Danio rerio: one gene and its partner. The protein of the gene in region 1 binds, or shares a complex with, the protein of each later gene. Links are inferred from orthologs where the notes say so. Each region holds a gene or a part of one and is shown in the gene's direction. Other genes may lie near its edges.

Region 1 (4,508 bases):
GCACCTGTTAGCTTTAATTGTGGGAAAAACTGGATAATTTGAGCTTTTGTCAGCTAATTTCAGCTTCCGGGTTTAAAATGATTTTTAGCGCAGGATCAAAATCGGCGATGTAGCCCAAAACTGCAAGTGGAGTGATGATCCGTCGGTTTCTCATTATTATTTATACTGAAGTTTTTTTATCCAATGACAAGAGCCTGCTTCTTAATTATTCATGACTGCACATGCTTTCCGAAGGCAAGACAGATCTGCCAGTGCCAAGCTGTGAGATCCTACCTTGATGACTGGGTTAAACAGCTTCCACTGACCCACGGCACACAGTATTTAGCTGTTCATGAAGGGCCGTATGTGTTTGTTTCGATGATCCATGGGGTTTGTTGCATGTTTTTCCCCGTGATGCTGTCAGGGCCGATACAGCAAAGTTGTTTGTGTGCAGTAAGCATTTTTGTCAGGAGAGCAGTACGAGAACTGGAGAATGGCGGATGTCGTCTTTTATCAGAAGTTTGTTCACATTTAGACACATCGCCGTGCTACTGTTTTTGCCTAAATCCATCCAGATTACCAGCAGGGCTAATGATTGAAATAGGCAGGGCAAGAGACCTGCTGCACTGAGTCTGCATTCAGACCTGGGGATTTATGGAAAAGTCCTCACCTCAAAGTGTTTATATAACACGATTATCTTTACAATAATATAAATTGTGGTTGTGTATTTTAAATTACAAATGACAAATGTAGCAGGGTATTAAATTACTGTTTATTTGTTTGCATTTTAACTTTGTAAACTATAAAATCATTAGTCTTCTCAAGGTTTGTGTCTCATTTTGTGAGCCAACTGACAACAGTTGTTCGCTCCCCTCTTTCTCCCCTGCTCTGCTGGCCACGCCCATTCCTGCCTCTGATCGCGGAGCTCCACGCCCATTATGATGCATTTTTGGAAAAATTCTGAGGCAGACCTGAACCGAAAGGAGTCATGACCCTTTAATCGTTACTGTGTTGTACACTGTTTGTCTTTGTTTACCAAATTGCTTAGCGTTATATTTATTTCTTATTGTGTACGTCTTGTACTTTATACTTGTATAATGTCCATTAAATATGATAATCAAAGACACGTGTCTAAGTATAAAACCACATTTTACTTCACATTTATATAATGTATGTTTACATTTTCTTAAATCAAAAATGTAGATTTATAATATTAATATATTATTAATTACTGGGCCGTGCTTCATGTAATTTAGTCATTTTATTTTTGATGTACAGTGAAACCGATGAATCCATGGTTAGGTAAGTGATGTTATAGAGTACACTGCTGTTATATTTGAAGAAGTACCCGACTTGCGTCCTCGGGTGTTCGTTCTTCCAAGTCTGAACTTCTAAGGACGCAAGTGAGTTACTTTGGATTTTTAGGTGAACTACCCCTTTAGTATTTGATGTATGCACGATTTTACATTCAATACAATTACGAGTACTTATATTTCACAACTGCTTTCATAAAAGATGCTTCAACAAAAACTATCTCAGTGGACTAATTCTTTAGATTAACAAACGATTCTTGCCTCCCAAAATCGTTTATTCAGGGTTTCTTCCATTAAAACGCCTTCAGACCGAGAAACACCTCTTTAACAGAAAAGCCTCCTGAGCCACCGTAGTGCAATGGGAGAAGTCAGCCAATAGGAATCGAGTACACTCAGAAAAGGCGGGGCTATTGTGCTCTACGATCCCCACACGTTGGGAAAGTGTTTGTATTTTTTGACAATAACACAAGTTTCTAGTTTTATAACGAGGATATATTCAGGCAAGGGAAAATGCCATCGCTAAGCGGAAAGGCGGACGTTTTATTCGTATGTATCTGAGCTATTTTTAAAGTCAGTTTTGTTAGTGTTCTCAATCTTTTCGTAGCTAGCTGTGATTAGCTCGCTAACTACAGCTGAATAAGATACACACAAGTATTTTTAATAATACTAATAAATTCCACATATGATTATTACCTGTCAAAATGAATTGTTGTGTCCTGTGCATTAATTCACCTCTCACATATAATAATAATTTATTTAAAGTGAATAACAGTAGTTAGCATAGGTTTACTTTAATTTTAAGTTATTATCATTGTTTAGTCAGTTACTAAGTGTCAGAAAATAACATTTAAAATTAACATTTTAAAAACCTGTACTAAATATTTCTGTTTCTTTCACCTAAATGTTACATTGAGGTAAAGTTTTTGTTTTCAATGAGGCGACATCATTGGCCCATGAACATTTCCTGTTGTCAAACTATTTCATAGCTGTAACAGGAGGCAATTCAATCATAACTTAATGTTAAAACAGCTATCATAACATTATTTATTAATATGTAAACCTTCTTGAAAGCTATGAAAATTAGAACCAACTGTTATCGTTTACGTCACTCAAAATTGTCTATATTCGCACATTCTGACTTTCTCCTTACAGTTTTTCCTCAGTAGCTTTGGTGCATTTCTCACAACACTATTTACATTTGAACACCAGTTAATACACATCTCAAAACAATTAGTACAAACTGCAAAACCTAAGATAACCTGCAAAAGCGTGTCACTTGCTCAAAATGGATAGTTCATTCCTCAAAAGCAAGTATTCACGTCAATGAAAGTGTCAGTATCATCAAAATGAGAAGTCTTGACACCATTGTTTATGAACAATATAGTCAAATGGCTTTGTCTTGTTTTCATTATGAATTATTAATTTTTTTCAATGCTAAATAGGCAGAATTTGGTGACACTTTCTGTAAATGCTCAAGACAGCAGTATATACTATTTGCACAGCCATTTGAAAACCAGTAAAGTTAGACAACACTGCATTTAGTGAGCTATCTGAGTACAAGACACTGAATATGTATGTTTCACATTTTTACTGCATTTGCTCTTTGCCATTCTAATTTATTCAAAGCATTGTGCAAAAGAATAAATACACCCTTATTTACAACAAACATAAACTTCCTTTGGATAGAGCTGTGCACAACTGTAAACAATATTGCACAACATATTTACCTGCAACATACACAGGTCTGTAAATCAGTCATGAAATTGTTCAATTTATAAGACATTTTCAGGAAAAAAAAAGATTTTACATTTTTTACAAAATTTGCTCGACAGATTTTGACAGCTAGTTCAACATTTGTGTATGTAATGACTCAAGTGATGAAATGAGGACTATTAGTTTAATATGGAATGACTATTCAGAATTCACAAGTTTAGTTAATTTTGACTGACATAAACAAATAATAATGTTATAAACAGCAGAGCATTGTATGAAAGCAATTGATGCATGTTCAAAAGCATTTGCAATTTGTTGGAGGGAATGAGAAACTGCTACTAGGATGTGCACAAATGACTAATTGTTTTGAGAAATGCATTACTTGTTGTGCAAATGTAAATAGTGTTGTGAGAAATGCACCAAAGCCACTGAGAAAAGCTGTAATAAAATATAAATAATATAACTTTAAAAAGTATAATGTGCAGATTATAAAGCAAAATCATATTAGCAACCCATGACTGTCAAATTACAACACTGTTCACAGTGAAAGAAATAGCTCTAATGTTGTTTTCAAGTCTTACTTGCAGGTGATCTCAGACCTAATATTTAAAGTAGCAGGGTAAGGGAGCATGTCACTTTCACTGTACGAATGTGCTATTAAAAAACAACTTTACCTCTATAAATGTTACTCACTAACTCAATAATCTAACGTTGGAGCTAGCTTTCATCAGTGTTCGTGAATCTTAATCACAGAGGCATGTTTGTTTTGCAGGAAGATGATGATTTGCCTTATGAGGAAGAAATCATCAGGAATCCATATTCAGTCAAGTGCTGGATGCGTTACATTGAGCACAAGCAAAGTGCACAGAAATCTGTGCTCAACATGATCTATGAAAGAGCTTTAAAGGAGTTGCCTGGCAGGTGCGTACATGTCATCATGTCATTTCCTTTTACACTGAAACCTGTGTGCTTTAAATCCTAAATATCTACATGGTTTCTTGCAGTTACAAATTGTGGTACAACTACCTGAGAGAGAGGAGAAAACAGGTGAAAGGAAAGTGCATCACGGATCCTGGATACGAGGAGGTGAACAACTGTCACGAGAGAGCGCTTGTGTTTATGCATAAGGTAAAGTTGATCTCTTAATTCTTACACAGGGTTTCTGTTAGTTGTAAAATGTGCTATATTTACATATTTTTGAATAAAGAGTGATGCACATGTTTTATGGCATAAGACTAGATCTGTGGCTGAAATCGCTTACTTACCTACTATATAGTTCGCTAAAAACAGTATGTGAGCCGAGTAATATGTCCAAATTCATAGTATTAAAAAAAAGTAGGTGAAAAGTAGGGCTGCTCGATTTTCGGAAAAATCATAATTACGATTATTTTGGTCATAATTGTGATCACGATTATTTAAAACGATTACTGTTGAAGTCAAAATTATTAGCGCTCCTGGGAATATGTTTTTTTTTTTTTTTAATAAATATTTCTCAAATGATGT
Region 2 (4,324 bases), on another chromosome or scaffold:
AGCACTGGGTTGCAGCTGGAAGGGCATCCACTGCGTAAAACATATGCTGGATAAGTTGGGGGTTCATTCACCTGTGGCGACCCCTAATTAATAATGGGGCGAAGCTGAAGAGAAAATTAATGAATGAAAAGCTGTTTTTACCTTATTTTGTGAATATGACGCTTATGTCTCTGATGCTCACACAGTGTGATGTACTCTGAAATACAAATGTGCAAAATAATCATTAAGTCGTCAAAAACAATATTTAAACAAATTTAGTAGAGAGCTTGTCAAATTACAAGTTGAGAAGAAGAGGTCCGCATTAGGAGCAAGTGATGATCTATCTGTCCATTACTGCTCCCGAGTTAGGCATAAATGGGCATTAAATGCTAATTCAATAGTTTACATGTGTCTGTTGCCTCATTACAAACATAAACAGCAAAGTGAATATAATTTACACTAAACCAACAAAAGATACAGTTCAACAGCAGATTAAACATATTCTATTTTTCCTGAATTTTATGTTTAGACAAGCTGTAAATAGATACTATCTAAAGCAGGTCGCACACCAGAAACTGCTCAGTGCCACGCATTTCAGAATTCTAAACAGAAGTTTCTATCAGGGTCTGTAGCGATCAAATATTCCTGAGGTAACTGTCAGTGTTATTCTCTGATTTGCTTATTTTTCTGTTTTTTTTTTTTTTTTTTACCCTGGATTTACATGAGAATGAGGTGTTTGAGGCTCACACAGTATGTTATTTCCATGCATTAAACTTATTATTAGGCCTATTCAATTATGCATATGTATATCCAGATTTTCTTTCAATGGCAACTTTAGTAATATCACAATAGAAACTTTATAAATCATGATAGTACTATTTAATTAACTGATTCACAAAAATGCAGTACCTTTGCGTTAAATATTGGACTGCTTTTCATGCCAATTCACAATAGTGATTAAATAATTAAACTCTTTTTTTATTTGTGATAGAAATGTACGTGTTGCATTAGTACAAGCAGAAAGCACAATTTAAAAATGTATATTTTAATTACAACTATGCACAAATATACATAACTGATATGTACATCACATTCAACCTATTTGCATTCATTAGTCTGTTTAAAAGACGGTTGTTAGAAGTGTGGGCAGCACAAATACAGGGAGAACATTCAAACTCCAAACTGACCCAGCTAAGGCTCAAACCAGCGACCTTTTTTCTCCACTGTGGCGCCCCCGAAGTACATAATGAATCCAGAGTGTCAAAATGTCAATCAGATTTTACTCCAGTTCACCAGAGGGCGACATACCAAACCTCAGTGGTGAAGAACACAGCCTGAAGTCAAAGGTTACACGCAAGATGGCGGCCAGCAAACGTGTTCTTTATGTTGGTAAGAAAACATAAAATTTATTAATTTAACTAACAAACGTTTTGCTCGTTCAGTTGGCTAGTTTAATCCTCTAGCCTCGTACATTTTTATCGACGCAGTACACGTTTTTAGTTGTATCCGGGAAAGCAGCAATTCATGAAATATGAGCAAGAGTTGAGCGCTCAGTCCGTTTAAAGTGACATATCGCACTAAGTGAAACGTTATTATTATTTTCTAGGTGGTCTTGCAGAGGAGGTGGATGAGAAAGTGCTGCACGCTGCGTTTATTCCTTTCGGTGACATTACAGATATTCAGATCCCGTTAGATTATGAGACAGGTGACAAATACACAGAAGTTACATTTACTTTACAACTTTACCATGTGAACGTACGACCGATTTTTACTACCACTTTAACATCCTGTCTTTACCAACAGAGAAACACAGAGGCTTTGCTTTTATCGAGTTCGAGCTGGCAGAGGTGAATATCATATACATCTACACTGAATTAAGTTAAAATAACGCGAAATGTGCATCATCAAAGTGACATTAACTTTGATGCTTTTTATGATTCACTTATTCAAACAGTGTTGCTACTTTATACACTGTACTGTTGTTTCTCTGCATTAGAAGCTTTGGTATCAATTTGTCACTTAATTAAAGTTCTGTCTTTTCCCCTCTAGGATTCAGCAGCTGCTATTGATAACATGGTGAGTTCATCGAATTTGAATTTACTGAATTCTGTGGATTTATAAAGTTCAACACTATCAGGATGTGCAGAGTGGAGGTTTTTATGCATTTGGTAATGTGTTTTTCAGAACGAGTCTGAGCTGTTTGGCAGAACCATCAGGGTGAACATCGCCAAACCCATGAGAATTAAAGAGGGCTCCTCTCGCCCAGGTGATGGAAAATTGATTGTGGTTGATTTTTCTGTTTAATGTCTTGACACATACTCACTGCCAACTTCTGATTTGTACTTTATAAATATATGCTGTTTACACCCATACCTAAAGCTGAGTTCATAAGAATATATATAAACAAAACTAAGCTAAAAGGTATTGATGCTGTAAACAAAAACATCAGAAAACATCTGTTACAATGATATAGCTCATTAAAATGTAGTTTGCTTTCAAATTTTCAGTTAAATTACATATAAGTTTGAATTATAAAAAGCAGGCTCTTTAGTGTTTTTGTCTTTACTCGTAGCAGTATGTGTTATTACTATTATTATACAGTTATTATTCTAAATAACAAATCAATCCTAAAAATGACTGGAAAACATGCAACAACTTGAGTGATATGCTAAGATGAAATGCTAAGATAACATCATCTTGTGTGCTTTCACCATCGTTGTTTCGGTTGAACAGAGAATAACAAACTTGCACGTGCAAAAGATGTCAAAAGTGAATGGCCCCTAACACCTTTATTCTGGGATTGCCACTCTAAATTAATACACTTGCATAAAGTAAATTATGCTGTTCTGCCTATAGTGTGGTCTGACGATGACTGGCTGAAGAAGTTCTCGGGGAAGAAAGCAGAGGAGAGTGAAGAGGCCGAGTCAGCTGCAGAATCAGCAAGTACAGAGACACAAGAGGTCCGAAAGTTACAGTATTGGTTTATTTATTTATTTTTTGGATGGTAAATAAAATAATAGTAATAACTTAACATTGTCATTTTGATTTTACTGTTTATATATGTATTTTTTTCAAAGTCTAATGCTCCATTTTAAATTAGTTTTATCATTATTACTCTATGATTAAGGTTGTCTGCGGGGTCTTAAAGTATTAAAAGTTGGTAAATTAATGTAGAGAAATTTAAGGCCCTTAAAAGTTATTAAATATTCTTAATTGCTGTTTTGCAAGGTATTACATTTTTTAATAATAATATATTTTATATTATTGTTGATTATGCAATGTATGGTTGTATGCCAAAGTTTGCCTGAATTAAATCTGCAAATATCAGGATGCTGTGTAGTTTATGAAATCCTACTAGATTTGACATCATGCAATTTTGTTTACTGCAGTAACCAAGACAACACCATTATTTCTGCAATTCTATTGGCGTCAATCTGCTGTATTAGATAAAATTAATTTTTATTCAGTATATGAATAGTGTTTTAGTTTTAGATTAGTTTCTTACATTAATATTCAGTAAATATTCTATAAGTTAAAATCTCGCCAGTGTTTCCAGTTGAAACCTAAAGTGGTTTCAAGGCCTTAAAATGTATTGAAAGAGTCTTAAAAAGGTCTTAAAAGGTGTTGAATTGCCCTCTGATGCCTGTAAATACTCTCTGATTGGCATTTTATGTTCCTGAACAGGGAGAACCTCCAGCAAAAAAAGGCAGAACCAATCCTCAAGTCTATATGGATATCAAGATTGGCAACAAACCTGCAGGCCGACTGCGCTTCCTTCTGCGAGCTGATGTTGTGCCTATGACTGCAGGTCAGACATATTTAACCATCTCCTGCGTGTGCTTAAAGTCAGCATGGAATAAAAATTCACCAAATTTTTTATATGTATATATTCATGGTGAACCTATTCTAGCTAAAGTAAAAATGCTAGAAAGTTGTCCATGGTGATTCATATAATGCAAATCTATTTATAAATGCAATGCCTTGAGAGCAGCAACAGCACTTACAAATCAACATAATGACATCTACTTTGCCTGTATAATAGAAATATAAAAATAATATATATATATATATATATATATATATATATATATATATATATATATATATATATATATATACACACATGATATTTTTTTAACTGACATTTTATGAATCATTAAGGACCACCATTTTAGTTGTCATCTGTGATGACCAAAGAGGGAGGAAAATAACAGCATTATCCTTTTAAACTCGGTCCTACTTCTATCCCATCAACATTGTAAAAACCTTTTGGCTTGATTTGTTTGTTCTTCTTCAGAAAATTTCCGTTGTTTGTGCACACATGAGAAAGGCTTTGGATTCAAGG

The links.
Region 2: xab2 (region 1) and ppie share a complex: the UniProt entries of both Homo sapiens proteins name them as parts of the XAB2 complex. The link is inferred for Danio rerio from reciprocal best matches to the Homo sapiens genes XAB2 and PPIE.

The regions. Positions count from the first base shown.
Region 1 is NC_133178.1:55,853,851-55,858,358, forward strand, and holds the start of xab2 (pre-mRNA-splicing factor SYF1), read left to right. Parts: upstream 1-1,698; 5' UTR 1,699-1,802; coding exon 1,803-1,838; intron 1,839-3,777; coding exon 3,778-3,926; intron 3,927-4,009; coding exon 4,010-4,133; intron 4,134-4,508. UniProt on the Homo sapiens protein: Involved in pre-mRNA splicing as component of the spliceosome. Involved in transcription-coupled repair (TCR), transcription and pre-mRNA splicing.
Region 2 is NC_133192.1:26,692,994-26,697,317, reverse strand, and holds the start of ppie (peptidyl-prolyl cis-trans isomerase E), read left to right. Parts: upstream 1-1,321; 5' UTR 1,322-1,337; coding exon 1,338-1,368; intron 1,369-1,585; coding exon 1,586-1,684; intron 1,685-1,782; coding exon 1,783-1,826; intron 1,827-2,028; coding exon 2,029-2,055; intron 2,056-2,163; coding exon 2,164-2,245; intron 2,246-2,835; coding exon 2,836-2,939; intron 2,940-3,663; coding exon 3,664-3,787; intron 3,788-4,276; coding exon 4,277-4,324. UniProt on the Homo sapiens protein: Involved in pre-mRNA splicing as component of the spliceosome. Combines RNA-binding and PPIase activities.